Linked DNA regions of Anolis sagrei. The protein of the gene in region 3 purifies or fractionates together with the protein of the main gene of each other region. This does not show direct contact. Links are inferred from orthologs where the notes say so. Each region holds a gene or a part of one and is shown on either strand. Other genes may lie near its edges. The genes, in order: AMPD2, ZNF516, CTBP1 and TRPS1.

Evidence for each region.
Region 1: the proteins of CTBP1 (region 3) and AMPD2 purify together in Homo sapiens (affinity purification with mass spectrometry; 3 studies listed by BioGRID and IntAct, with this or other methods). This does not show direct contact. The link is inferred for Anolis sagrei from reciprocal best matches to the Homo sapiens genes CTBP1 and AMPD2.
Region 2: the proteins of CTBP1 (region 3) and ZNF516 purify together in Homo sapiens (co-immunoprecipitation; 4 studies listed by BioGRID and IntAct, counting the BioPlex papers as one, with this or other methods). This does not show direct contact. The link is inferred for Anolis sagrei from reciprocal best matches to the Homo sapiens genes CTBP1 and ZNF516.
Region 4: the proteins of CTBP1 (region 3) and TRPS1 purify together in Homo sapiens (affinity purification with mass spectrometry; 3 studies listed by BioGRID and IntAct, counting the BioPlex papers as one, with this or other methods). This does not show direct contact. The link is inferred for Anolis sagrei from reciprocal best matches to the Homo sapiens genes CTBP1 and TRPS1.

Annotation. Positions count from the first base shown.
Region 1 is NC_090024.1:184,411,402-184,418,425, forward strand, and holds the start of AMPD2 (AMP deaminase 2), read right to left. Parts: upstream 3,022-7,024; 5' UTR 2,862-3,021; coding exon 2,768-2,861; intron 1-2,767. UniProt on the Homo sapiens protein: AMP deaminase plays a critical role in energy metabolism. Catalyzes the deamination of AMP to IMP and plays an important role in the purine nucleotide cycle.
Region 2 is NC_090024.1:74,193,083-74,200,452, reverse strand, and holds the start of ZNF516 (zinc finger protein 516), read left to right. Parts: upstream 1-4,366; 5' UTR 4,367-4,612; intron 4,613-7,370. UniProt on the Homo sapiens protein: Transcriptional regulator that binds to the promoter and activates the transcription of genes promoting brown adipose tissue (BAT) differentiation.
Region 3 is NC_090023.1:143,542,155-143,549,503, reverse strand, and holds the start of CTBP1 (C-terminal-binding protein 1), read right to left. Parts: upstream 3,003-7,349; 5' UTR 2,768-3,002; coding exon 2,728-2,767; intron 1-2,727. UniProt on the Homo sapiens protein: Corepressor targeting diverse transcription regulators such as GLIS2 or BCL6. Has dehydrogenase activity. Involved in controlling the equilibrium between tubular and stacked structures in the Golgi complex.
Region 4 is NC_090024.1:23,857,691-23,865,245, reverse strand, and holds the start of TRPS1 (zinc finger transcription factor Trps1), read right to left. Parts: upstream 3,014-7,555; 5' UTR 2,073-3,013; intron 1,266-2,072; exon of another isoform or gene 1,043-1,265; intron 1-1,042. UniProt on the Homo sapiens protein: Transcriptional repressor. Binds specifically to GATA sequences and represses expression of GATA-regulated genes at selected sites and stages in vertebrate development. Regulates chondrocyte proliferation and differentiation.

The DNA.
Region 1 (7,024 bases), on a different chromosome or scaffold from region 3:
TAATATATATGAGGGCCTTTAGATTCTTTATTAGCATGTTATATTTCTGAAATCGAATACTGCTGTTTTATCCACAGCAATGACTATATTTCATTGTTTTTACAAGGGGGTACTGTGAATTTATGATGTTGTGTTGATTGTTTATTGTCTAGTCATATGTTTTGTTTTGCACTTGTTGCATTTTGCATGTCATACCTTGAGTGTTTTGTGAGCCGCCCCGAGTTCCTCTGGGAAATGGTGGTGGGATATAAAGAAAAGATTCTTCTTCTTCTTTTTCTTCTTCTTATTATTAACTTATGGTGACCCCATAAAATCCATAGAGTATTCTTAGGCAAGACATAACCAGAGATGGTTCCGCCAGTTCAGTCCTCTGAAACAGTTTGCAGGACCTGTACATGGCCTTCCATCCAAGTACTAAGCAGAACGGACACTGCTTAACTTCCAAGATCAGACAAGAGCCGGTGGCTTTAGGGCAGAGATCCCCAACCTTTTTTTGACCAAAGACCATTTGACCAAGGGGGCCATATGACCAGGGACCACTTTGACCACTCTCCAACATTAGTACCAAAAGGATTACGAATCTGTTTTTGGTCAACTTTAGATTCGGTTTGGTTATTTGGGGTGCTAATTCAGAAAATTACATTGGATAGACCACATCAGCTCGAGTTTCTGATACAGAACATAGGCCACCCAGTAGTTGCCATCTGCTCGCCCACAGAAAACCATATTTAATTAGCCTTGGCACTATAAGAGGGTTTCGCGAGACCAGTCACCCTTATTGCAACAGTGTAGTAATAGTGAGGCCACAGACCATATTTTAGTTCATGTGGACCACTGGTTGGGAACCACTGCTGTAGGGGATTTAAGCCTCTGGCATATAGAACATATTTTTTGTCATGTCAGGAGCAACTTGAGAAACTGCAAGTCGCTTCTGGTGTGAGAGAATTGGCAATCTGCAAGGACATCACCCAGGGGATGCCTGGATGTTTTGATGTTTTATCACCCTTGTGGGAGGCTTCTCTCATGTCCCCACATGAGGAGCTGGAGCTGATAGAGGGAGCTCATCCGCACCCTCCCTGGATTCGAACCTGTGACCTGTCAGTCTTCAGTCCTGCCGGCACAGGGGTTTAACCCACTGCACCACTGGGGGCTCCTATATAGAGCATTAAAGGTCAGGACCAGGAGCCAGACATGATCAGGGAATTGGACTGGATGGCCCATGAGGTATCTTCCAACTCTATGATTCTATAAGTGCCTTTAGGGATTTTACTGCACATTCACAGAGGGACCCACCTCTGAACATGCTTTGTTTTTATACATGAATCCTAAAAGACCCTTGTAAAGATGTGAAAGACCTGTATCCCATCACACCTTGAAGACAAAGGTCGCAATGTGCATCTTTCTGAATTACATCACTGGCCGACACACAAATAAAACTCATTTCTGGGTATGTTTCATCTGACGGTTCCAAAAACGGCACCAGTCTTCCCCTATCAGCTCGAGTTTGTGAGATGAAGAACATACGCCATATACCAGTTGCCATCTGATCACCCATAGAAAATCACAACAACCTTATCTAAGAAACTATGGCCGATGTGGTTTATCTGACGCTATTTTCCGAATCAGTGGTTCAAATAACCCTAGGAACGTGCCTAAAAACCAAGACACCAAGAAATAAGATTTCTGCTTGGGCTGTGCAATCTACGTCACAGATGGATAAGATTAAGAATTGAAGGGTTTTATATCATTCTATATCAAGATGGGCAAACTTGGGCCCTCCAGATGTTTGGACTTCAACTCCCACCATTCCCAACAGCCTCAGGCCACTTAAGCAGCTGAAGGGGAAAAGGAAAGGGCCTGAGGCTGTTAGGAATGGTGGGAGTTGGAAGTCCAAAATGTCTGGACTTGTCAGTCTTCAGTCCTGCCAGCACAAGGCTTTAACAAGGGTTTATTGTTTTTAAATGTTGATTGCACTTCTGTGTTTGTTTTTAATCTGTATTTGCTGGGAACGTCCCTTGTAAACGCCCTAAGTCCCTTTGGAGAGATGGAGGTGAGGAATAAAAATAAAATTATTATTATTATCATCCCACTGTGCCACAGGTGGCTGCATTCTCTTGAATGTTGGTGGACAGGGGGAAAAAAAATTAAAGATGGGCTGAAAGCCAACCTTAAAAGCTGTGATATAGACACTGAGTACGGGGAAGCCCTGGCTCTTGAGAACTCTAACTGGAGGTCAGCTGTGACCAGCAGTGCTGCAGAATTCGAAGCGGCACAAATGGAGGGCGAAAGGGAGAAGCATGCCAAGAGGAAGGTGCATCAAGGGAAAAGGAAAGGGCCTGAGGCTGCTAGGAATGGTGGGAGTTGAAGTACAAAGCACCCAGGTCTGTTCTACAGAAACAGTGAAGTTGGTCACTTCAATGCCATGGCTCAATTCTACTGGATTCTGGAAATTTGGTGATGCACCAGCCCTCTTTGGTAGAGAAGGCTACAGATCTTGTCAAGCTACAGTTGATTGCACTGCCTTGAGCCATGGCTGCAAAGCGGTGTCAAACTGCATTAATTCTACAGTACAGATGCACCCAAGTCTGCTCAGCCAAGCATCCAACCAACCCAAGGAGCAGCCATTAGCCTATGGAAGAAGGAAACACAGCAGGGAAATGCAGAAGAAGGGAGGGGGGAGGAATTGGGGTGCTTTATCATGAAGAGAACCCCCCCCTAGCTTGGGAAAAGAGGGCTGGGGGAGGAAATGCCATCTTCCCACGCTCACCTCCTCCGCCTCCTCCTCCTCCCACGACGGCTTGAAGGCTGGCCCGCTTTCTTAAAGGAGAGCCGCTCTTCGGGGGCGCCGCTCCAGACGACATCTTGCTCCCTCCCAATGCTTCCAAGAGAAGCCCCTCAAAGGCAGGCTCCGGACACTGGGCGAAGGGGCGGGGCCTCCGCTAAGCCCCGCCTCCTCTAGGGATGATGGACAGGCGGGGAGGAAGCGAGCCGGCGATGGGCGCAGGAGGAGCTCCGGCGTTGGATCTCTCTTGACTTCCTCCGCCTCAAGACGCAGCGGATGGGAGGGAGAAGCAAAGAGGAGGCCTGAAGCCCAGCCCCCTCCTCCTCCAGCTGCATTCCTCACGGGCACGAGCTGCGTGGGTCCTTTAGCAACCCTCTGCATCTACACTGCACAATGAGCGCGGTCTGACACCGCTTTAAAATGCCCTGGCTTGATGCCTGGGGTTTTTAATTGAGTGAGGCACCAGCACTCCTGGGTAGAGAAAGCTTTGTACAGCAACAACCCCCACGACTCTTTAGCACTGAGCCCTGACAGCTAAAGTAGTGTCAAACTGTATTAAGTCTGCAATGTAGATGCAACTCCAGACCTTTTGTGTGTGTGTGTGTCAAGAACGACTTTGAGAAACTTCAAGTTGCTTCTGGTGTGAGAGAATTGGTTGTCTGCGAGGACATTGCCCAGAGGATGTTTTGATGTTTTATCATCCTTGTGGGGGACTTCTCCCATGTTCCCGCATGGAGAGCTGGAGCTGACAGAGGGAGCTCATCCACGTTCTCCCCAGATTTGTACCTCCGACTTGTCAGTCTTCAGTCCTGCCGACACAAGGCTTTAACCAGGGTATATTGTTTTTAAATGTTGACTGCATTTCTGTGTTTGTTTTTAATCTGTATTTGCTGGGCACATCCCTTATAAGCCGCCCTAAGTCCCTTCAGGGAGATGGAGGCTGAGGGGGAAAGGGAAGGGGCCTGGGGCTGTTAGGAATGGTGGGAGTTGAAGTCCAAAACATTGGGAGGGCCAAAGTTTGGCCAGGCCTGCTATAGACTCAGGTTTCACGTTACAGTTGTGTGCCGCACCAACACACTGCAGCCGACACATTGGCGTGTCACGACAGTTTGGAAACTTCTGCCTTCATTGCTGATGCCCTCCCACTTCTATGCAAGCATTGCAAGGACAGTTTGATTATAATGCTTTCTTTGGTTCTGAATAAAATAATTAGTCTAAAAAAAACAACATGATGGGGAGGCTGCTCTCACTCCCAGTTGGTATTCTCTGCCTTAAAAAGCAAGTACACCTGTTGAATATCCCAGGTTCAAGCCATCCTGAAAGCAAGCTTGAGTCCTCTTTGCCAAAGGGACTCCAGGCTTCTGAAGCCCGGGCTGGCATTTTCAGGAGAAGGCCAAGCTGCAACCTCAAAGCTGGGCCAGCAACAGAGTCTCTCCAAGTATTGTAGGGCACCTCATCATCATCATCCACCCATGCAATGTGTTGGCAGATCATGACTCCCTGGTGACTATTTTGAAAAGCATTACTCTACCCTGCCTACCTAGTGGCCAGGAGTGATGGGAGCTGCCACCCCAAAATATTTGAAAGGCCACAAAAGCCAGTGCTATGGTGTCTGCATAGGATACATTTACCCTGCAGAAGAAATGCAGTTTGACACCACTCTAACTATCAAGACTCAATGCTATATAATTATGGGACTTACAGTTTTACAAGGTCTTCAGCCCTCTTTGCTAAAGAGTGCTGGTGTCCCGCCAAACTACACCTCCCAGGATTCTACAGCACTGAACCGTAGCAGTAAAGATGGTGGCAGACTGCATTGCTTCTCCAGTGGTGAGGTGCCTCAAAAACATATTGTGGCACTTCCTTTGGCTTTGGAGGGCAGCCCACTTGAGGAAGAGCCTAATGCCCTAAAGCAGTGGGTCCCAACTTGTGATCCGTGGACCACAAGTGGTCTGCAAGAACTAAAATATGGTCCACAGCTTCACTGTTACTACCATTGCAAAGAGAGTGACTGGTCTTGCGAAACTTCTTATAGTGCTGAAGCTTATTAAATATGGCTTTCTGTGGGAGAGCAGATGGCAACTACTGGATGGCCTATGTTTTGTGTCAGAAACTAGAGCTGATGTGGTCTATCCAATGCAATTTTCTGAATCAGCATCCCAAATAACCAAGCCAAATCTAAAGTTTACCAAAAACTGATTTGTAGCCCTTTTGGTACTAATGTTGGAGAGTGGTCAAGTTGTCCCTGGTGAAAAAAGGTTGAGAACCACTGCCCTAAAGGTACCAGATCCCATCTGATCTTGGATGCTAAGCAGGAACAGCTCTGGTTAGTACTTGGATGGAAACCCAACAATGAATGCCAAGTTCAGTAGGCTCTATTTCAAAGGAAGGAACTGGCAAACCATTTCTGAGTAGTCCCTTTTGGAAAACCTTATGAAATTAATGGGATTGTTATAAGTTGACAGTATCTTAATGACACATACACACATCACTGGAGAAGTATCCGCATTACATTGTTACATCAGTTTCTCACTACTTTGTATAACCATGTGATCTGAAACCATGTTAAGGAATCTGGGGTGTGGGGCCCTTCCACACAGCCATATAACCCAGAATATCAATACTTACCTCTCCGAACGCATCTCCTCCTATGAACCGACTAGGACATTAAGATCGTCTGGGGAGGCCCTGCTCTCGGTCCCGCCTACATCGCAGGCGCGGTTGGCGGGGACGAGGGACAGGGCCTTCTCGGTGGTGGCCCCTCGGCTGTGGAACGCCCTACCTGTGGACATCAGACAGGCCCCTTCATTGCTGGCATTCCGGAGGAAGGTCAAGACTTGGCTTTACGAACAAGCATTTGGCTAAATACTGCAATGAATACACGAAGATGGTACAACTGAACATAGGATTTGGTAAAGGATTATGATTACGGATTCTGATTCTGATTTGTTTGCTGAGGCCTATGATAATGATTGTTTGTTTTGGTGTAATTTGTATAATTTGCTTTTAATTGTCTTTTTGATATTGTTGTGATGATCTTTACTGTGTAAACCACCTTGAGTCGCCATTTCGGCGGAGAAAGGCAGTATAGAAGTAAAGCAAATAAATAAATAAATAAATCATAGAATCATAGAATCAAAGAGTTGGAAGAGACCTCATGGGCCATCCAGTCCAACCCCCTGCCAAGAAGCAGGAATATTGCATTCAAATCACCCCTGACAGATGGCCATCCAGCCTCTGCTTAAAAGCTTCCAAAGAGGGAGCCTCCACCACACTCCGGGGCAGAGAGTTCCACTGCTGAACGGCTCTCACAGTCAGGAAGTTCTTCCTAATGTTCAGATGGAATCTCCTCTCTTGTAGTTTGAAGCCATTGTTCCGCGTCCTAGTCTCCAAGGAAGCAGAAAACAAGCTTGCTCCCTCCTCCCTGTGGCTTCCTCTCACATATTTATACATGGCTATCATATCTCCTCTCAGCCTTCTCTTCTTCAGGCTAAACATGCCCAGTTCCCCAAGCCGCTCCTCATAGGGCTTGTTCTCCAGACCCTTGATCATTTTAGTCGCCCTCCTCTGGACACATTCCAGCTTGTCAATATCAATAAATAAATCAAGGTAGAAAACCCCACAATATATGCTTTGAACTGAGTTATCGGAGTCCACATTACTATATATTCCAGTTCAAAGCAGATAATGTGGGAAGATCATGTTATTCAGCTGTGTGGAAGAGGCCGTGGAGTTCAAAGGAGTGAACCAGACAGTGGTTCCTCCAGATCTTTAAAATTTCAGCCCAGGACACCTGGGAAATGTTCAAGGATTCTGGGAGCTGAAGTCCAAAATACCTGAAAGATGATAGAGAGAATGAATTATCTCCAAGGGAGAATCTGAAGTACTTCATTGAACTGTACATCCCACGAGACCTTAAAATAGAGCTATTGGTGGCTATAATTGTATAGTCAGATACACCTCCTAAATAATGGGGTCAGAACTGCTTACTCCTGCCTCTAACCAGGACAAGTGTAATTTGGACACCGCACTTATGAACCACCTTCAATCCACCTGCATCTAAGCAGTAGAATGAATTCAGTCTGACACCATTTTAATTGTCATGGTTTTGTGATATGGAATCAAGGGGATTTGTATCTTGGTAAGGCTCCAGCATTCTTTGGCAAAGAAGGCTAAAGGCCTTGTAAAAGTACAACAACCACGATTTCACAGCACTGAGCCATGGAAGTTAAAGTGGTGTCA
Region 2 (7,370 bases), on a different chromosome or scaffold from region 3:
AATAATAATAATAATAATAATAATAGAGTAAAATAATAACTAACCTTGACTCAAGTGAAAGCTGAGGGGGACTTTTTCAGCCTAAAAAAAGGGCTGAAAAACTAGGCTTATACTCAAGTATATTCAGTAGTTTCCAGTTGCTTGAGAATATTGTTTCTGGCTGCTATTAAAAATAGGCCTAACTACTACTTTAACCTATATTATACCATACCATAAACTATGTATTGACTTGATCTAAATATTGAAACAAAGCAATAAAAGCAAATAAAAACAAAGAAAGACAAGCATATCTTAATGTAACAGTTTTACTGTATTATAAAAGTAGTTTTGTAAATGCATTATTATATATTGATTTTTTTTTGCTAGTTGCTTGACAGTTTCGGTTACTTGAGTTCTGGTTAGCTGAGAATCTACTGCTTGGAATATTCCACACAGGAATTCATTAAGAGATCTCTTTCATTATTGTCCATTTTATTTTCAGGAGAACAATGGCAACTTAATAGCACATACATGACGGAGCCCACATTAAATAACTGTAATTGAATTTTACTGAATTTTAATTTTTTACACTCATGATACAAATATATGGTTCTTTTGAATTTTTAAATTCATGTCTATGTATTTGCCTTGTTTTAAAATTCTTTTGTATTGTGTCATGTCATTCTCAGCCATCTTGAGTGGAGAGAAAGGTGGGATACTACTTCCCAATAATAATATTTAAAAATTAAATAACTGCATCTGTCTAGAGGTTAGACACATACTCTTGTCAGTGAACGTATAGCATAGTTTTCCTATGGGGAGAAATATGAGATAAAACAAAGTAAATCATAATTATAAAGCATCTCCCTCTATGAACCAACTCGGAGGTTAATATCGTCTGACGAGGTCCTCCTCTCGGTCCCACCTTTTTCACAGGCACAACTGGTGGGGATGAGGGACAAGGCCTTCTCAGTGGTTGCCCCTTGATTATGGAACCCCCCTCCCCAGCGAAATCAGGTCATCTTCCACCCCCCTACCTTCAGAAAGCATGAAACAACGTGGCCTTGGGACCAAGCCTTTGGTCAATAGTGAAGTGCAGTAAGTGATTATGGAAAATGTGCTAAGACAATTGGAATGGCTTTTTGACTATGATCTCAGATTGCGTAGTTTTAATAATGTGTTTTAATCTTTATATGATTTTAAAAGTGGCTTCCAGATGGTGCAGTGGGTTAAACTGCTGATCTTGCTGACCAAAAGGTTGGCGGTTTGAATCCGGGGAGCAGGATGAGCTCCCACAGTTAGTCCCAGCTTCTGCCAACCTAGCAGTTTGAAAACATGCAAATGTGAGTAGATCAATAGGTAATGCCACTCCATGCAGTCATGATGGCCACATGACCTTGGAGGCATCTACAGACAATGCCGGCTCTACAGCTTAGAAATGGAGATGAGCACCACCCCCCAGAGTCAGACACGACTAGACTGAATGTCACAGGAAATCATTTACCTTTACTTTTATGATTTTAAACTCATGTTTCAATGGATATGTTTATTTTATGTCTGTTGTGTACCTGGCATCAAATTGTTGCCTTTGTAAGGCCACTCTGAGTCCCTGTCAGGGCTGAGAAGGGCAGGGTATAAATACTGTAAATAAATACAAAAATAAAATATTTATAATAATAATAATATGTAAAAATAGAACAGAAGCTAAACGTGTACTTTTTTCAGTATGTGTACATGTAAACATATAGGATAATTTTGCTATGAGAAGAAAGATGGGATAAAAAGAAAATAAATAATTATAATAAGCAACATTATTTAAAAATAGAACAGAGGCTAAACACATACTTTTGTCAGTGTGTGTACATGTGAACATATAGGATTGTTTCCATATGGGAAGAAAGATGAGATAAAAATAAAGTAAATAATAATAATAATAATAATATTTTATTTAAATATAGAACAGAGGCTAAATGTGTACTTTTCTCAGCGTGCGTACATGTAAACATATAGGAAAGTTTCCCTATGAGAAGAAAGATGGGATAAAAATAAAGTAAATAATAATAATAATAGTAGTAGTAGTAATTACTATTTTATTCAAAAATCGGTTAAACCCTTTTTTTGTCAGTGTATGTACATGTGAACATATAGGATAGTCTCCCTATGGGAAGAAAGATGGGAGAAAAATAAATAATTATAATCGTAATAATTTTATTTAAAAATAGAACAGAGGCTAAATGCATACTTTTCTCAGTGTGCCTACATGTGAACATATAGGATGGTTTCCCTATGGGAAGAAAAATGGGATAAAATAATAATAATAATAATAATAATAAATTTTAAAATAGGTCAAACGCTTACTTTTCTCAGTGTGTGTACATGTGAACATATGGGATGGTTTCCCTATTTGGAGAAAAATTGGTTAAAATAAAGTAAATAATAATAATAATAATAATAATAATAATTGTTGTTGTTTATTCGTTCAATCGCTTCCGAATCTTCATGGCCTCATGTACCAGCCCACGCCAGAACTATATAATAATAATTTTATTTAAAACCAGAACAGAGGCTAAACACGTACTTATTTAAGAATAGGTTAAATCCTTCCTTTTGTACATATTAGTTTCTCTATGGGAAGAAAGTTGGGATAATAATAATGATAATAATAATAATAATTTTATTAAAAATTAGTTAAATGCTTACTTTTGTCACTGTGTGTACATGTGAACATATAGGATAGTTTCTCTATGGGAAGAAAGATGGGATAAAAATAAATAATTATAATAAGCAATAATATTATTTAAAAATTGAACAGAGACTAAACACATACTTTTATCAGTGTGTGTACATGTGAACATATAGGATAGTTTCCCTATGGGAAGGAAGATGGGATAAAAATAAAGAAAAAAATTATTTAAAAATAGAAGAGGCTAAACACAAACTTTTCTCAGTCTGTCTACATGTGAACATATAGGATAGTTTCCCTATGGGAAGAAAGTTGGGTAAAAAAAATCATATTTATTTAAAAACAGAACACATACTTTTATTACTGTCTGTACATGTGAGCATATAGGGTAGCTCCCCTATGAGAAGAAAGTTGGGTAAAAATAAATTATTATTATTATTATTAATAATAATAATAATAATAATAATAATTTAAAATAGAACACATAGTTTTATTACTGTCTGTACATGTGAACATATAAGATTGCTTCCCTATAGGAAGAAAGTTAGGTAAAATAAATAATAATAATAATAATAATAATAATAATAATAATAATTTAAAAATAGAACACACACTTTTATTACTGTCTGTACATGTGAACATATAGGATAGCTTCCCTATGAGAAGAAAATTGGGTAAAACTAAATAATAATAATAATAATAATAATAATAATAATAATAATAATTTAAAAATAGAACACATAGTTTTATTATGTGAACATATAGGATAGCTTCCCTATGGGAAGAAAATTGGGTAAAAATAAATAATAATAATAATTTTATTTATTTATTTATTTGTCGTGTCAGAGCAACCAGTCCATTATACTACATTTCTAACAGAACAAAGCAAACAGACAGAAAAATACACAACTTGTGAGAAGCGACCAGCATAATAATAATAATAATTATTATTATTATTTAAAAATAGAACACATACTCATTATATGTGAACACAGAACCTCATTACCTCTGAGGATGCTTGCCATAGATGCAGGCGAAACGTCAGGAGAAAAATTGCCTCCAGAACATGGCCATATAGCCCGGAAAAACCTACAACAACCCAGAACACATACTTCTGTTATGTGAACATATAGGATAGCTTCCCTATGGGAAGAAAATTGGGTAAAAATAAATAATAATAATAATAATTATTATTATTATTATTTAAAAATAGAACACATACTTTTGTTATGTGACCATATAGAATAGTTTCCCTATAGGAAGAAAATTGGGTAAATTATTATTATTATTATTTAAAAATAGAACACATACTTTTATTATGTGAACATAGCTTCCCTATGGGAAGAAAGTTGGGTAAAAATACATGATGATGATGATGATGATTGTCCCTAAAGCCAGAAGGCATACTTTTGTGCCGGCGTGCCCATGTGCCCCTCGAGGCCGGTTTCCCCTTCCTGCTGTTCCCTTGACTCCTTTGGGCAGAAGCGCTGCCCTGCTAATGAATCCTCCCCATTAGGGGAACAATTGCCGAGACGGGACTCATTTGGGGGCCACCGAGCCTCTCCCCGCCTTAGACAAGAACTTTGTGCTGATGAGACAATAGTAGACAGTGTGTGCATTTCAGAGAGGAGAGACCATTCCGCCGCCGGGGGGGGGGAGAGGGGAGACCTCCCCTTGTACATTGAAAGAGGGGCGGGCAAAAGGGGCCGAAGGAGAGCCTCCAGGTCGGGCTGGAAAGGCGCCGGGAAAGTTGGGGTTAGCGGGGAGTGCAGGTTTGCGGGGAGGCGGAGAGTTCTCCCCAAGCGCCCCCCCCTCCCTGCTGGGCCGAGTGGAGCCGCCGCCGTGCATCATGTGCCGCTCTTTCCTGATTGCAGGCAGCGCGTGGTTTCACCTTCAGGTTCTGCTGTGGACGCGTCCTTCTCTTTAAGCCATCACCTCAACCGCCTGAAGGTAAGGGGCATTTGGAAGAAACCATTTCTTCCCGGGGGGAGGAGAGAGAGAGAGGGATGTTGCTCTTCGGCCATTGGGGAGGGGAGGGGGAGAGAAATATGCCCAATGCGCCCGTGGGGGAAAACTTTCCAATTAATAGTTCATCCCGCTCCCTAATTGGAGGGAGCTTTCCAAGGATCACTACTTGGGGGGGGGGGGGGGGGGGTTGAAACAGTTCCTAAATCAATAGATCCTGGTGTGTAAAGAGTGGGGAAGGATACGTTGTATATGGATTTATTATATAGAGTCTCTTTTGTATCTTTGGTCAAAAGGAAAACGGGGGGGGGGGGGGGGAGATCAGGAATATAACATAACTCCCACCCATTAAGGATGGGTTGGGTTGGAATGGAAAGCAGAGAAACCCAATTGGGAAAATTAATTAAATAAATAAAAATAATTAAAAATTTCCATTAAGGATGGGTTGGAATGGAAAGCAGAGGGACCCAATTGGGAACATTAAAAATATGTTTTGTTTTGTTTTTTTTAAAAAAATAAAATTAAAATTAAAAAAATTAAAAAAGGGACCTAATTAGGACCAAAATAGTTGTTTCCAGGAGGAAAAAAGGGAATCTTTATAGAGGGCATGAGGAGAGAGAGAAGGAAGGAGGAGGAGGTGGGGAAAGGAAATAATGCAGACATTTTGACCTATGGAACCCTCCTCCTCCTCCTCCCCCTCTGGCCCCTCCCATCTCCACCCCAAATTAGCATAAGAGTGGCAAGCAATCCTTTGAATGCAGTGGTTGCGACAAGTTGGAAGAAACTTTGAAAGCAGTGGCAACTCTTCTTCATCACTAGAGAAGAAATCCACTTCAAATCCGAGTTTCTGCCTCCTGCAGGATTATGGGCTTTGTAGTTTAGAAGAAAATCATAGAGTTGGAAAAGACCTCATGGGCCATCCAGTCCAACCCCCTGCCAAGAAGCAGGAAAATTCAAAGCACTCCTGACAGATGGCCATCCAGCCTCTGTGTAAAAGCTTCTAAAGAAAGAGCCTCCACCACACCCTGGGGCATAGAGTTCCACTGCTGAACAGCTCTCACAGTCAGGAAGTTCTTCCTAATGTTCAGGTGGAGTCTCCTTTCTTGTAGTTTAAAGCCATTGTTCCACGTCCTAGACTACAGGGCAGCAGAAAACAAGCTTGGTAATAGTATGAAAGCTGGGCCCCGAAGCTCTCAGCATTACGCTGTTTCCACTTCACTCCTTCGGGAGCGCTGTTTGTGCAACGCAGAACAGAACACAGATATTATAGAAGGAATATAAGAGTTCTTATAAAACCCTATAAAACTACAACTCCCAGGATCCCATAGCACCCTTGGACGGAGAAAGGTGAAAGAAACCCTATGAAACTATGACTCCCAGCATTCCATAGCTCTCTTTGGCAGAGAAGGCTGAACCCCCCCCCCATAAAACTACAACTCCCGCCATTCCATAACACTCTTTGGCGGAGAAAGGTAAAAAAATCAATGAAACGACAACTCCCAGGATCCCATAGCACCCTTTGGCAGTGAAAAAAACTCTATAAAACTATGACTTCCAGCATTCCATAGCTCTTCAATGGAGAAGGGTGAAAAAAAAACCCCATGAAACTACAACTCCCAGGACCCCATAGCACTCTTTGGCAGAGAAGGGCAAAAACCCTATAAAATACAACTCCCAGGATCCCATAGCACTCTTTAGCAGAGATGTGTGAAAAACGGTATCAAACTACAATTCCCAGGATCCCATAGCACTGTGGCAGAGAAAAACCCGTATTAAAACTACAACTCCCAGGATCCCATAGCACTCTTTTGCAGAGAAGCATAATAAAACCCACCTAGGTAAAGGTAAAGGTAGTCCCCTGACATTAAGTCCAGTCATGTCTGACTCTGGGGTGTGGTGCTCATCTCCATTTCTAAGCCGAAGAGCCAGCGTTGTCCGTAGACACCTCCAAGGTCATGTGGCCGGCATGACTGCATGGAGCGCCGTTACCTTCCTGCCGGAGCAGCACCTATTGATCTACTCACATTTGCATGTTTTCGAACTGCTAGGTTGGCAGAAGCTAGGGCTGACAGCGGAAGCTCATGCCGCTCCCCGGAATCGAACCTGCGACCTTTCGATCAACAAGCTCAGCAGCTCAGTGCTTTAACCCACTGCGCCACCGGGGGCTCATAAAAAAAAACCCACCTATAAAACTACAATTCCCAGGATCCCATAGCACTCTTTGGCAAAGAAGCGTCAAAAAATCCACCTATAAAACCACAACTCCCAGGATTTCATGGCACTCTGGCACAGAAGGGCAAAAACCCTATAAAACTACAACTCCCAGGATTCCATAGTACTCTTTGGTGGAGAAGGGTATAAAAAACAAAAGCTGCAACTCCCAGAATTCCATAACACCTTTTGGCAGAAAACGGTGAAAAAACCCTATAAAACTGCAACTCCCAGGATGCCATAGCCTTTAGCCATGGCAGTATAAGGGTTGTCAAACTGCAGTAGCCCTATAGTGCAGATGCATCCATATTTATCACAAAGTCTTTAGCCTTTTCTACCCAAGACTGCTGGTGCTGCCCCAAGCTACAACTTCCAGGATTCAAAAGCATTGAACTATGGCAGTCCGAGTGGTATCAAACTACATTAATCTAACAGTTTAGAGGCATCCTTGTTATTTTTGCATGACTTTGAGGGCGATGTATGTGCTTCATGGTGTCACCTGTGGCACTGGGAATGCAAATAAAAGCCGATG
Region 3 (7,349 bases):
TCAAATCTGGGGAGCAGGGTGGGCTCCCGTTATTAGCCTCAGCTTCTGCCAACCTAGCAGCTCGAAAATATGCAAGTGTGAGTAGGTACTGCTTTGGCAGGAAGGTAATGGCACTCCATGCAGTCATGCTGGCCACATCACCTTGGATGAGTACCACCCCACAGTCGGACTCAACTAGACTTAATGTTAAGGGGGGGGGGGGCTTTACTTATTGTATTTATATGTTTTAATAGTTTTATAATTTGATATGTTATATTTAGTATGTATAATGCAGCATTGAATTTTGCTATGATGTAAGCCACCCTGAGTCCTCTTTGAGGTGAGAAGAGCATGGTATAAATATAGTAAAGAAATAAATCCAATTCAAAGCAGATAATCTGAGATCAGGTTCTGGGATATAGATCAGTGTAGATCCAGCCTCGGGACCTCATCTACCCTGCCCTATAATGCAGTTTGAAACTGCACTATATGGTCTGTGTAGAGTCATATAATGCAGCCTGTCTACTTCATCACACTAGAGCAGGCATGGACAAACTTTGGCCCTCTGGGTGTCTTGGACTCCAGCTGTTAGGAATTTTGGGAGTTGGACGTCCAAAATACCTAGAGAGCTGAAGTTTGCCTGCACTAGAGAATGAATCCAGTTTGTGTCTCCTGCAGAATTCTGGGATTTGTAGTTTAGTGAGGCTGTTAAAGACTTGTCCCTAAACTACAAACCCCAGAATTCTGCAGGAGGCAGCAACCGGATTTAAAGTGGATTCATTCTCTAAGTGCAGTGTTTCTCAACCTTGGGGTCAGGATCCGGGGGGGGGGGGGGGTCAGATGGGTCACCAAAGACCATCAGAAAACATAGTATTTTCTGTTGGTCATGGGAGTTTTGTGTAGGAAGTTTGGCCCAATTCTATTGGTGGGGTTCAGAATACTCTTTGATTGTAGGTAAACTATAAATCCCAGTAACTACAACTTCAAAATGTCAAGGTCTATTTTCCCCAAACTCCACCAGTATTCACATTTGGGTATATTGAATATCCATGCCACGTTTGGTCCAGATCCACCTTTGTCTGAACCCACAGTACTCTTTGGATGTAGGTGAACTACAACTCCAAAACTCAAGGTCAATGTCCACCAAACCTTTCCAGTATCTGCTGTTGGTCATGGGAGTTCTGTGTGCCAAGTTTGGTTCAATTCCATCATTGCTGGAGTTCAGAATGCTCTTTGATGGTAGGTTTAACTATAAATCCTAGCAACTACAACCCCCAAATGACAAAATCAATCTCCCCCAACCCCACCAGTATTCAAATTTGGGCATATCGGGTATTTGTGCCAAATTTGGTCCAGTGAATGAAAATACATCACGCATATCAGATATTTACATTATGATTCATAACAGTTCCAGAATTATAGTTATGAAGTAGCAATTAAAACAATTTTATGGTTGGGAGTCACCACAACATGAGGGACTATATTAAGGGGTCACAGCATTAGGAAGGTTGAGAACCACTGCTCTAGTGTGAGGAGGTCCTAATAAGTGAGTTATAGGAGTCAACACTGGCCACGTAAAGTAGTTCTAAACTGCGTTATATGGTAGTCTAGATGGCCTCTCTGTTGATGGGTGGCTGTAAACAAAAGCGTGGTTGTGCCAGTGTGCCTTCCCAGAATAAGGAAAACTCTCAGCAATGTGCCCTCAAAATGCACTTTACCACTGATTTAGGAATGACTGCATTCCCTCAATTCTCTCTGAAAATCCTATCCCAGTTATATCCTACCTTGCTCACGTCAGAATTATTTTTTAATTTTAATCTATTACATTTGGCCCAACCATTGGATTTAAATGCTTGTATGTCACTGTTGATTGTTTATTGCCTATTTTTTGTTAATGTGATTTATATGAATTGTATTGTATTGATTGTTTGTTTATTGATGTTTTGTTTATTGATGTGCGGTGGGCTTGGCCTCATGTAAGCCGCACCGAGTCCCTTGGGGAGATGGTAGCGGGGTATAAATAAAGTATTACTATTATTATTTTATTAAAAGCCCTCTTGACCACAAGGCCCTTACATGGCTTCCTAAGAACAATGCCCACTCCAAGCCGGCATCGAAAGAGCAGCCCTGCGCTCCACGCTCCCTTGGTTGGATGGCCAAGAGGGAGAGACAGAAGATGGATCAAAAGGGAGGGCAGCGAGACAGCCAGGAAGTCAGGGAGCCCCCCAGAGGTGAGGAAGCGGGAGCTCGGCTTCTTCCTCCTCCTCCTCCATCTTGGCACAAACGGCCCCCTGGAGGAAAGGAGGGAGGGAAGGGGCGGCTCGAAACCGGGCCCAGGCGGTGCCAGGAAGGAAGGGAAGGAGGAAGGACAAAAGGGGACGACATCAAACTTTCCCGAGCGAGGCAAGAGGCGCCAGGCCTTGGACCCTCCCAGCGGCGCCCAATAACCATATTCAGCCTTTGGGGGCGCAACCGGAAACCGGCCTCCAGCGAGCCCCCTCCCCAAAGGGCTGTGTTCACGGGGAAAGGCCCCAGCGGAGAGCGAGGCCAGGCCGAAGCAGAGCCCCCCCTCCCCCAATGTCCTCCCTGCGGCCTACTCCTCAGCTTCTGAGGGGAAGCAGGAGGGGACACAATGCCTCACAAAGCGCGAGGGGCCTTCTCCTCCTCCTTCCCCCACCCCTCCCTTCCCTCCGTGCGCGAGGCGGGAGAAACAGGCACAGCAAACCCGAGGCAGCGGCGGCGCCTTACCGAGCGGCAGGCCCTTGTTGAGCAAGTGGGAGCTGCCCATCGAGAGGCCTCTCAGGGGCAGGGCTCCAGCGGGGTCTGCTCGGGCGCGATTCGGAGCATATGGCGGCCCCGGCGGCTCCCTCGCCCCCTTCTTTCCTTTCCTTTGCCTTCCCTCCCCGCCCGGCCCCTCCCTCCGAGCCCTCGCACTGAGGCTCCGCGATCAGGGAGGGAGGGGGGAGCAGGAGGAGGAGGAGGCGCGCGCAGGCAGGGGCGGGGCCGGGCTGGGCTCGCGCTTGCTCTCTTGTCTGCTGGCCGGATGTGGAGCCGGAGAGGAGGGAGGGAGGGAAGGAAAGGGAAGCTGGCGTGCGCGCGGGAGGAAGGGGAAGAGGAGGAGGAGGCGTGGCCTCCGCCCCGCCCCTTTTCGGAGGCAGAAGGACCCCACCTCTGGAGGGAGGGAGGGAAGGAGGGCCGCCTCCCCGCCTGATTCATTGCCCCGACGAGATGGGACCCTCCTCCAAACACGGTTTTCATTCACGGTTCATCTTCACCGTAGACGGCCTGAATTTTTTTAAAAAAAAACAATATTTACAATAACTTTGTGCAGATAGCAAATATCAGATAGCAAAGGTGCCCCTGCCTCAGCCTTGTCGGCGTTTATATAAGTAGCCTGCAGACTGACTTTACCCTTGTAATAACTCTATATAAATAAAAATGTCATGTTTGTTTGTGGGATTAACAGAACGCAAAAACCACTGGACGAATTGACACTAAATTTGGACACAATACACCTATTAGGCCAACGACACAACAACAGAGAGGAAACAAACAAGGACATCTAATCACCTCTCAACAAAAGATTCCCCCAGGCACTGCCAGGCCATCAAATGCTAATCAAGGTGATCAGTTGAAACATTCACACCTAGCTCCAGCAGACAAAAGTCCTTTGTCCCACCCCGGTCATTCCACAGATATATAAACCCATTTTCCTACTTCCAACAGACCTCACTACCTCTGAGAATGCTTGCCATAGATGCAGGCGAAATGTCAGGAGAAACTGCCTCTAGAACATGGCCATATAGCCCGGAAAACCTACAACAACCGAGCATTACATTTTTATTTATATAGTTACTACAAGGGTAAAGTCAGCCTGCGGGCTACTTATGTAAATGCTGACAAGGCTGAGGCAGGGACACCTTTGCAATGCTTCTGGAACATGGCCATATAGCCCGGAAAACCTACAACAACCCAGTGATTCCAGCCATGAAAGCCTTCGACAATACAAATGTAATGTTCGTTTGTGGGATTAACAGAACTCAAAAACCACTAGATGAATTGACACTAAATTTGGACACAATACACCTATTAGACCAACGAGTGACCATCACTCATAAAAACACTGAAAAACACAGCAGAAGAGACTTTAAAAGCCAAAAACAATAATTACATAACGCATGCGCAAAACCACATATATATACACAAACATACACATATACACACATATATGCACACACACAAAACACATATACACAGACTGGGCCACAGCAGTGCGTGACAGGGGACAGTTAGTCTATATTAATAAAAATCTATATAAATAAAAATGTGTTAATTTGTGGGATTAACATAACTCAAAACCCACTGGACAAATTGACACAAAATTTGGACACAAGACACCCCTCATGCCAACAAGTGACCATCACCCATAAAAACACAAAAAAACACAGTGGATGAGACTTAAAAAGCAAAAAAAACACACACACACACATTACAACGCATGCGCAAAAGCACATATATACACAAACACACATATATACACAAATATAAACACACACATATACAAATATATATACACACAAACATATACACAGACTAGGCCACAGCAAAGCGTGGCAGGGGACAGCTAGTATATTAATAAAAATGTAATGTTAGTTTGTGGGATTAACATAAGCCAAAAACCACTGGACGAATTGACACCAAATTTGGACACAATACACCCATCAGGCCAACAAGTGACCATCACTCATAAAAACACTGAAAAACACATTGGGACTTAAAAAGCCAAAAAAGCAAAAAGATGCTACAGAGCATGCACAAAAACGACTCCCCCGGCAAAAATACCCACACAATAGCAATTCCACACTCTCTTTCGGACTATTGCTCCCAGCATCCCCTAGACCAGGCCTTTTAAGAGAGGGGGATGATCCAAATGCAGTGTTTCCAAGCTGCAAGCTTTCTTCTTAGATTTTTTAAAGAGCATCCCAATCCCTGCATACTTGCAATTTCCTATTCTTGGACTGCAACTCCCAGCAATCCTCCAGATAGGTAAGGTAGATAGATGGATGGATGGATCAGGAGGACTGCTAGGAGGTGCAGTCCAAGAGTAAGTAGAGAAGGAAGAAAGGGGAGAAAGAATGGGAAAGAAAAGGTGGGGGAAGGAAGGGAAGAAGAGAAGAGAAGAGAAGAGAAGAGAAGAGAAGAGAAGAGAAGAGAAGAGAAGGAAGGAAGGAGAGAAAGGAAGGAAGGAAGGAAGGAAGGAAGGAAGGAAGGAGAGATGTAAGATTGGCCACAGTAACGCATGGTGGGTACAGCTAGTGTGTAATTCATAAAAGAAAAACACATGAGTCTTCAGCTTTAAGTAGAAAAGAAACGAAGTTGTATTCACAGCATACAAAACAAAATAGAAGAATTGCTCTCACCAAAAACATAACATAAAACAATATCTTCGGTGAGTTCTCTTCATTCCGCGTTGATATGCAGTCTCCCTTAGTCAGTTGTCCGTAGAGTGACCTTGACTTGCTGCCTTATTTTCAGCTCTGGACGCTTGCAGTAACTTCTCTCGGCATCAAACAAACAAAGGTTTTTCAACTCAAACCGAGCCCCAAGCAAAGCATACAAACACAATGCTCAAACACGTAGAACACAATACTCCAACACAAAGAATGCAAAACTCCAACACGGATAATGCAAAACTCAAATACAATGCAATACTTAAAGTACAAACACACATGAGATAACAATACACTTAATTATCCCAATAATTAACTGTGTCAGCTGTAACAGAAACAGCTCTGATCCTTTCCAAAACTTAAGAAAAGTACGTTGCAAACCTTTAGTAGCAACAAGCCCCCCCACCAGAGTAGACAATTTTGGAATCTGGAGTAGTTCTGGTCTTTGGAATTCCAATCTGTATGCACATTGGGACACTCGCAGGAACACCTCATCAAGCGAGTCCAAAAGTGGCAGGCTAAAACCCAGAACCTGAATTAATGGTTGATACCAAATGAGAGACTCCCTCCTGGGCACACACAAAACTGGGCGACTTGGAAGGTGCTGAGCAGACTGTGCTCTGGCACCACGAGATGCAGAGCCAACCTTAAGAAATGGGGCTACAACAGTGTTTCGCAACCTGGGGGTCGGAACCCTGGGTGGGTCGCAAGGGGGTGTCAGAGGGGTCACCAAAGGCCATCAGAAACCACAGTATTTTATGTTGACCGTGGGGGTATTGTGTGAGAAGTTTGGTGAGGTTCAGAATGCTCTTTGATCGTAGGTGAACTATAAATCCCAGTAACTACAACTTCAAAATGTCAAGGTCTATTTCCCCCAAATTCCACCAGTGATCACATTTGGGCATATTGAGTATTCGTGTCAAGTTTGGTCCAGATCCATCATTGTTTGAGTCCATTGTACTCTCTGGATATAGGTGAACTATAACTCCCAAACTCAAGATCAATGCCCACCAAATCCTTCCAGTATTTTCTGTTGGTCATGGGAGTTCTGTGTGCCAAGTTTTGTTCAATTCTGTCATTGGGGGAGTTCAAAATGCTCTTTGATTGTAGGTGAACTATAAATCCCAGCAACTACAACTCCCAAATGACAAAATCAACCCCCCCCCCCCCAAACCCCACCAGTTTTCAGATATGGGCATATTGAGTATTTGTGCCGTATTTGGTCCAGTGAATGAAAATAAATATCAGATATTTACATTATGATTCATAACAGTAGCAAAATGATAGTTATGAAGTAGCAACAAAAATAATGTTATGGTTGGAGGTCATCACAACGCGAGGAACTGTATTAAGGGGTCACGGCATTAGGAAGGTTGGGAAACACTGGGCTACAAAGTGGAATCCACGACATGCCAGTTGGAGAAGAGCAAACCATAGACCACCTATTACAATGCAGCCTGAGCCCAGCCACATGCACAATGGAGGACCTTCTTGCAGCAACACCAGAGGCATTCCAAATGGCCAGCTAGAATGCCAAGTTTGCAAACTTTGTGGTTTTTTTTAATGCAATACAACTGTTTGGTTCGCTCCTGACACGATAAATAAATTGGGTTGCTATGAGTTTTCTGGGCTGTATGGCCATGTTCCAGAAGCATTCTCTCCTGACATTTCGCCCACGTCTATGGCAGGCATTCTCAGAGGCTGAGGGGAAACTGGGCAAGTGAGGTTTATATATCTGTGGAATGTCCAGGATGTAAAACCCATCTTTACATTGAAAAATCTTCAACATGTCTTGCAAAATAAACACATAGCCATTAGACTAGTCATTCTCAACCTGTGGGTCCCCAGATGTTTTGGCCTCCAACTCCCAGAAATCCTAACAGCTGGTAAACTGGCTGGAATTTATGGGAGTTGTAGGCC
Region 4 (7,555 bases), on a different chromosome or scaffold from region 3:
ATTGTTTGGCCTATGATTTTTTTTCTCCTCTCTCTCAGTGATTTGAGTTTGACATTTGTGGGTGGGAAAGGGGCTTTATGAGCTTCTGGTTGGTGTTAGTTCTTTAAAAATGAAAAAGAAACCTTATCTAACAAAGTCTTAAAAGTTCTTGAATGGCACCTTCTTTAGTAGAAGAAATTGTAGACACAACTAGCAACGCAAGCAAGACAACTTGTTGAAAAAGTATCAAGAAGTTAGAGGGAAATTTCTCCTGATTTACAAGAGCACAGTCCTAGAAAGTTGTATGAACTTTTCCTTTAAGATCAAAGGCAGAGATGGGGAGGACTCATGGAGCCATAATAACAACAACAACTCCCCCACCCCCCTTGCTGATTTTTTATAATAGCAAAACCTTCCCAACCACCATTATGGATCACAAGTTACGATTAAGTACAATCCAATCTTCCATTCTTAAAGAATTAGGAAGTTTCCACCTCTTCATTCATTCAGTTTCTTAAAGGGGGGGGGGGGAGAAAGCCTGTCACACATATCCATAATCCAAGCAAGTATTTTGCAAAGATGGGGGGGGGGGAGAGAAAAGTCACTGGACGCTCAATAAAGCAACTCCTTCCCAACCACCATTATGGATCAGTCACAAGTTACGATTAAGTACAATCCATTCTTCCCTTCTTAATTAGGAAGTTTCCATCTCTTCATTTATTCAGTTCCTTAATGGAGGGGGGACGATGAAGAAACCTGTCACACGCATCCATAATCCAAGCAAGTTTTTTACAAAGATGGGGGGAGGGAGAGAAAAGTCACTGAACGCTCAATAAAGTAACTTATTGCAAACCTGTGCACAAGGTCCTGGCCTTTTCGAAGAACTTCCTAACTCCTTCTAAAGAAGCCAGCCAAACCAAAGTGTCACATTTTGGGGAGAAAAGAGACCAGGATGAAAAATCCCACCCTGATCTAAAGAGTGATATATTCAACACCTTTCTCTAGAAGTTACACAGAAAACTACCCAAAGTCTCCTTTCAACAAGAAGGGGGAAGAAACTTACTACTTTCTCATGATGATCTCCCATCCGAGCCCCGACTTTTGGCCACCGTCCCCATTCTTTTCAAAGGATGGGTAAAAAACTGAAAAAGTGCAAAAACTCTAGGATGTTTGACCAAAATTAAAAGGGGGAAGGGCTTAAGTGGGGTATCCCACATTATGTGGGGTATCCCACGTGAAGGATGCAATATTTACCAATGCAAAAAAACAAAACAAAAAGGCAACCCAATAGGGAGGAAAAAAGCAGAGTGCCCCCCCCCCTTTCCTCTTTTACACACTTTCCCCCTGTAAAGAGGAGAGTGAAATCAAAGCTTAACCCACAAAAAAAGGAGGGGACTCAGGGGAGGAGAGTCAGGAAAGACACCAGCAGCTTCCAAAGTTGTCTTTTCTTGGTTTTGGAGGATGGGAAGGGATTGGGGAAAGGGGGGGGGGTCCAAGGGGGAAGGGCTTCCCTTTGGCTGCTGAACTTGACCCCTGCTGACTCCTCTCTCTCCAAAGAAGGCCTCCTGCAAGTTTTTTTCTTTCCGCCAAGTCTCCCATTATTATTATTATTTTGTGTGTGCTGCAGATCAACACATGTTTTTGACCCCATTACAAAATAAAATAAAAACACAGATTGGAGGAAAATGGGGAGAAGGAAGAGGAAGAAGAGGAGAATAAGATTGTATTATATTTTATATATATTTTAAAGAACCCATTAAAACACATCCTTTAGGAAACTGGAGCTCTTTGCTTTGCCTTCTTTGCAAAGCAACACACAAACCCCCCTCTTTTATCCAAAAAATCCCTAAATCACAGCACAGACATACACAAAACCAAAACACTGCTTTCTTTCTGATGATAGACATATTATTTGAGGAGTGGGGGGACATAATAATACCAAAATACACATCCAAGAGAGCAAAAAGCCAGGAAGGTGTTAAGTGCTAGCCACCAACAGCTCTCTCCTCTCCATGGATCACAACCCCATTTCTCTTCCCCCCTCCCTTTGAATTGCAGCCCCCTCCCACTCCCTGTAAACCCTGCTTGCTTACCTGTTGATTGATCAGCAATAATAGTAATAATAATAGCAATAATAATAACCGCAGCCGCTGGAAAGATGGTGGAACTGTCGCCTGAGCCATGAACCGTCTTTCTGTTGTTTGCAAGAGAGTTGAGCTTGGATTATTTTGGAAAGAGGTGGGAAAAGAAAGCACCCCGGGGGGGGGGGGGGAGAGAGAGAGAGAAGGAGGGAGGGAAAGGAGGGAAGGAAGGAAGGAAGGAGGAGGAGGAAAAGCAAGGGAAGGAGGAGGGAGGGAAGGAGGGAGGGAAGAAAGAGAGGGGTTAATAGGGGAGAAGGAGAAGGAGGAAAAGGGGGGGATTTGCTTTTAGCCACCCTCCTCCCTCCCTCCCTCCCTTCCTTCTGCGGATGGACAGAGAGAGAAGAGGAGGAGGAGGAGGAAGGGGGGAAAGAAGAAGGGAACGCGCCAAAAGCGCAGAAGAAGGGGAAAAATGTGTTTATAAAGCGGAAAGGAGGAGGAAAAAGAAAAAGAAACAGAGTAGCTGCTGCTGCTGCTTCTTCTTGCAACAAACAAGCCCTTCTCTCTTCTCTTCCCCTTTAAAAAAAAAGGAGGAGGAGGAGATTTCTCTCTCTCTCTCTCTCTCTCTCTCTTTTTCTTTCTGTTCTTTTTTGGAGATGGCCAGCGGAGGCTCTTTATCAGAAATGTTATCGCTTGTCAGGACCTCCAGTCTCCGACTGCATGACGTCAGTTTCAAGACACCAACACTATTAATATCAAAGGGGGAGAGAGAGAGAGGGAGGAGGAGGAGGGAGAGGAAAGGAGGGAGGGAAGCGCCACCCCGGGCGGAGGAGAGCCTTAAAGAGGCAACCCCGGCTGCTACTCTCTCGCTCGCTCCCGCTCCCCGTTGCTGCTGCTGTTGCTGCTGCTGCTGCCGCCGCCGCGGACGGCCTTCTCCCGGCCTCCCTCCGCCTCCTCCACCGGCGGGCACTCGGCGGCTCCGCCTCCTTCGCGGCTTCCTCCTCCTCCTCCTCCTCCTCCCGCTTCAATCTCCCTCGTTGCCTCTCACTCGCACAGGCGGCCCGGCAGGGGAGAGGAGAGGAGAAGCCGCGCTGGTCGAAAGAGGAAGGGAGGGAGGAAGGAAACTAGGAAGAGAGGGAGGAAAGGAAGGGAGGAAAGGAAGAAGTAAAGAAGGAAAAAGATGGAATGGAGAGAGGGAAGATGGAAAGAAGGGAGGGAAGAAGTAAGGAAGGGGGAAAAAAGGGAAGAAGGGAGGGAGAGGGAAGAAGTAAAGGAAGGGAAGGAAGGAAAAAGAAAGGGAAGAAGGGAGGGAGAGGGAAGAAGTAAAGGAAGGAAGGGAAAAAGAAAGGGAAGAAGGGAGGGAGAGCAAGGAAGTAAAGAAGGAAGGAAGGGAAAAAGAAAGGGAAGAAGGGAGAAAGGAAAGAAGTAAAGAAGGGAGGGATGGAAGAAGTAAAGAAAGAATGGAAGAAGGAAAAGAAGGGGGGAGGAGAAGGAATGGAGGGAGGGAAGAAGGTAGAGAGGGAAGATGGAAAGGAAGGGAAGAAGTAAAGAAAGAAGGAAGGAAAAAGAAAGGGAAGAAGGGAGGGAGAGATAAGAAGTAAAGGAAGGAAGGGAAGAAGTAAAGAAGGAAGGAAGGGAAAAGAAAGAGAAGAAGGGAGCAAGGAATGGAAGAAGGAAGGAAAGAAGGGAAGATGGAAAGAAGGGGGAGGAAGTGAGGGAAGAAGTAAGGAATGGCGGAAGGAAGAAGTAAAGAAGGAAGGGAAGGTGGAATGGAGTGAAGGAGGAAGAAGGAAGGGAGAAGTAAAGAAGTTACAAAAGAAGGATGAAAAGAAGGAAGAAAAGATAGAAAGCAGGAAGGGAAGAAGGAAGGGAAGGACAAATGGGGTGAAGGAGGAAGGGAAAAGTGAAGAAGTTACGAAAGGATGGAAGGAAGGGAAAAGGAAAGAAGGAAGGGAAGATAGAAAACAGGAAGGGAAGACAGAAGGAAAGGAGGAATTGAGTGAAGGAGGAAGAAGGAAAGGAAAAGGGAAGAAGTTTGGAAGGAAGGGAAAAGGAAAGAAGGAAGGAAAGATAGACCGAAGAGAAGAAGGAAGGAAAGATAGACCGAAGGGAAAAAGGAAGGAAAGAAATAAAAAGAGAAAGAGGGCAGGAAATAAAGAAGGGAAGAAAGAAAAAGACAAAGAAAGAAGGAAAGGAAAAAATCAGGGAGAGAAGAAGGAAGGATGGAATGAAGGAAGTGAAGGACAGAAGGAAAGAAAGAGGGAAGGAAGGGAAGGAAGAAGGGGCTTTTTAGGCCCCCCTTTGAGTCACCCAAAAGAGAGTGGCCCTAAGAAGCACAGAAAGAGAGGTGCACAACCTACAAACAGACCCACCTTTTCAGCTGGGGAAAGAAAGAGAATAATAATAATAATTATAATAATAATAATAATTATTATTATATACCACTTTTTTCTCTCAATCTTAAAGCAGTGGAACTAAATGCAAAGACCAAAAGTGGTGCCCTGTGGTGGGGTTCTTCTGACCCTATGTACATGAACACACACAACTCCCATTTCAGTTGTAAACAGGAGATGAACCCAAAACACAGAGAAAAAGGGGAAAAGGAGCTACAGCCTTGCCCTAGAGTGGGATTCTTTAAAATATACATAACCTCTCCTTTGAGTTGGGCAGTGAAGGAGAGGAATTTAAACAGGCCCCTTCTACACTGCCATATAATCCAGATTATCAAAAAAGATAATCCACATTATCAGTTCTGATAATCTACGAAGTCTGTGCTGCTATATCCAGGGGCTCTGGTGGTGTAGGGGGGTAAACCACTGAGCTGCTTAAATTGCTGAGTGAAAGGTCAGTGATTCAAATCCAAGGAGTGGGGTGAGCTCCCTCTGTTAACTCAGTCCTGGCAACCTAGAAGTTTGAAAACATGCAAATGTGAGTAGATCAATAGGTACCGCTTCTGTGGGAAGTTAACGGCGCTCCATGCAGTCATGCTGACCACATGACCCAGGAGATGTTTACAAACTACGGCGACTCTTCGGCTTAGAAATGGATATGAGCACCATCCCCCAGAATCAGACACAACTAGACTTAATGTCAAGGGGAAACTTTTACCTTTACCTTTTTACACTGCTATATAATCCAGTTCAAAGCAGATAATCTGGATTTTATATAGTTTTGTAGAAAAGACCAGAGAGAGAGATTGATCCTATTGCCTTGCCCTGAGTAGGATTCTCTTAACCCCATCTCCACTCATAAGGCACAGAATCCCTCTTTCAGCTGGCAAAGAAAGAGAATTATTATTATTACTACTACTACTACTACTACTACTATAGACTGCTTTTTTCTTTCAAAGACACTCAAAGCGGTGAAATCAAACACAGAGCAAAAATGGGAACTCCAACATTGCCCTGGAGTGGGGTTCTTTCGGCAGCTTTCTCCACCTACCCACCCTATACCACTGCAGACAAAGAAAGAAGTCCTGACTACACCTATCCTGTTATTGTAGTGCTGGCTAGTGGGTGGATCATGGCTAGTGGCCATCCCTCATCAGCTGGTGCATCAGAAGAAAGTGGGAGAGGAGAGAGAGAAAGAAGGAATTGCCCCTTCCATTCCCTCCTGCTTCTCTGATCACCCTGGTGTCCCAGTTGACATCATTCCAGGCCGCAAGCAACAGACAGTAGCCATTTTGCACCCATTGGCCACCACGATGATGAGAATTTTTTTTTGGGGGGGGGGGGGGTGTGACAGCATTCCTTGTCCCCAAACAGGATGTCCATGTAAACAGTTTTGTCTTGGAACCAACCCAACTGTTTATATGGACCAAAGTCATGGTTTACTCCAAAATATGTTATGCATTTATTTTATTGTTAATATTTTGAATTAGATGCTTATGAGGGCACCAAAATCTTTAAAATACTTAGCGCCTATAAAGGTCTTGATCTGGCCCTGATTGTTCACATCCAATAAGGATGGCAAAAGAGACAGAGGTTTGCCTAGAAGTTACATATGCTAATTTATCGATAAACGCATTTAGAAACAAGGACTGTCGCTGAAAGAAAAGCATAGGCGGAGCATTCCTTATTTGGAATTCCAAAATTGTTCATATCCAATAAGGAGGCCAAAAAAAGATAGATATTTGCCTGAAGTGTACATATGTTACTTCAGAGATGAAGGCACACATTTAGAAACGAGGTCCGCCAATGAAATGGATATACAGAAGGAGCATCTTTATACAAAATCATCCAGAAATTGTCCACATAGATGAATGAGACAATGACACCTTTGCTTTCTGGTGATTCAGTATGCACAAACTTTGTTTCATGCACAAATCATTAAAAATATTGTACACTATTAAGGCTTTGTGTCTAAGCTGCATATGAAAGATAAATGAATTTTGTGTTGACTTGGGACTCATCTTCAAACTCTGAAATAATCCAAAATCCCAAACACTTCTGGTTCCAAGTACTTCAGAAAAAGGATACACAGGGCCTTTCTACACTTCCATATAATCCAGAATATCAAGGTAGATAACCCTCATTATCTGCTTTGAACTGGATTATCTGAGTCTACACTGCCATATATTCTACTTCAAAGAAGCTAATCTGGATTTTGTACAGCAGTGTGGAAGGCGCCTCAGTCTGTACCATATTTGCCTAAATGTGCATAATGAGGTATCTTGAACAGTGAGATCCAAGACTAGAAGTAAAATTCATTTATGTTTTGGATACACCTTATACACATAGCCTGAAGGTAATTAATACAATACTTTAATATCTTTGTGCAAGAAAGGAAGTTTATGTATGCTGAACTATCTGAAAACCACCTATGTGAAAATTTTGGAGTTCAGTGTATTTTGGATTTTAGTTAAGGAATGGTGAACCTGAATTACTTTGAAATATGTGAGAGCCTTAGATATCAGAAGCATTTCATATCATGAGTAATCTACAAGGATCCATTGGAAAGTCGTTACTTTCTTCAACTATCAGTATCTCTCCAAGGTTTCAAGGGAGAATCAATAGCTCAGCCAGTTTTCTATCTAGAGCTGTTCATGAATAAACCTAGGATATGTTTGGACCAAAGCCTGTTTTCTAACACAACAAGATGTACATGCTTGCTCTTTAAACATGGTTATCTGTAGTAACTGCATTCAGTGGGTTTTAGCTCCTGGAGAACTGTGTATCAGATTGCAGCCTAAATTGCTCATTGGGTAGGAGAAATATTTTTCCTGCTAAGAACCTCCTCTTCCAGTAAAACTTCCATGGTTTTGTGACTTTGACACAGATCCTTATACGTTCTAAGGTACTGAAAGGTTGATTTTCAGTTTGAAAAGTAGTAGAAGAAAGATAAAGAAGGAAAAAGAGAAGAGATTAAATTGGAAAAGAGGGGAAAAGAACGCAGAACATTCATAGAACTTGAGACCCGCAAGATCCTATTTTTGGCATTTTAAAAGATTAGGTGTATTTCTTTTATGCAACATTAAGCAAAATGTTCCATAAAAGTCA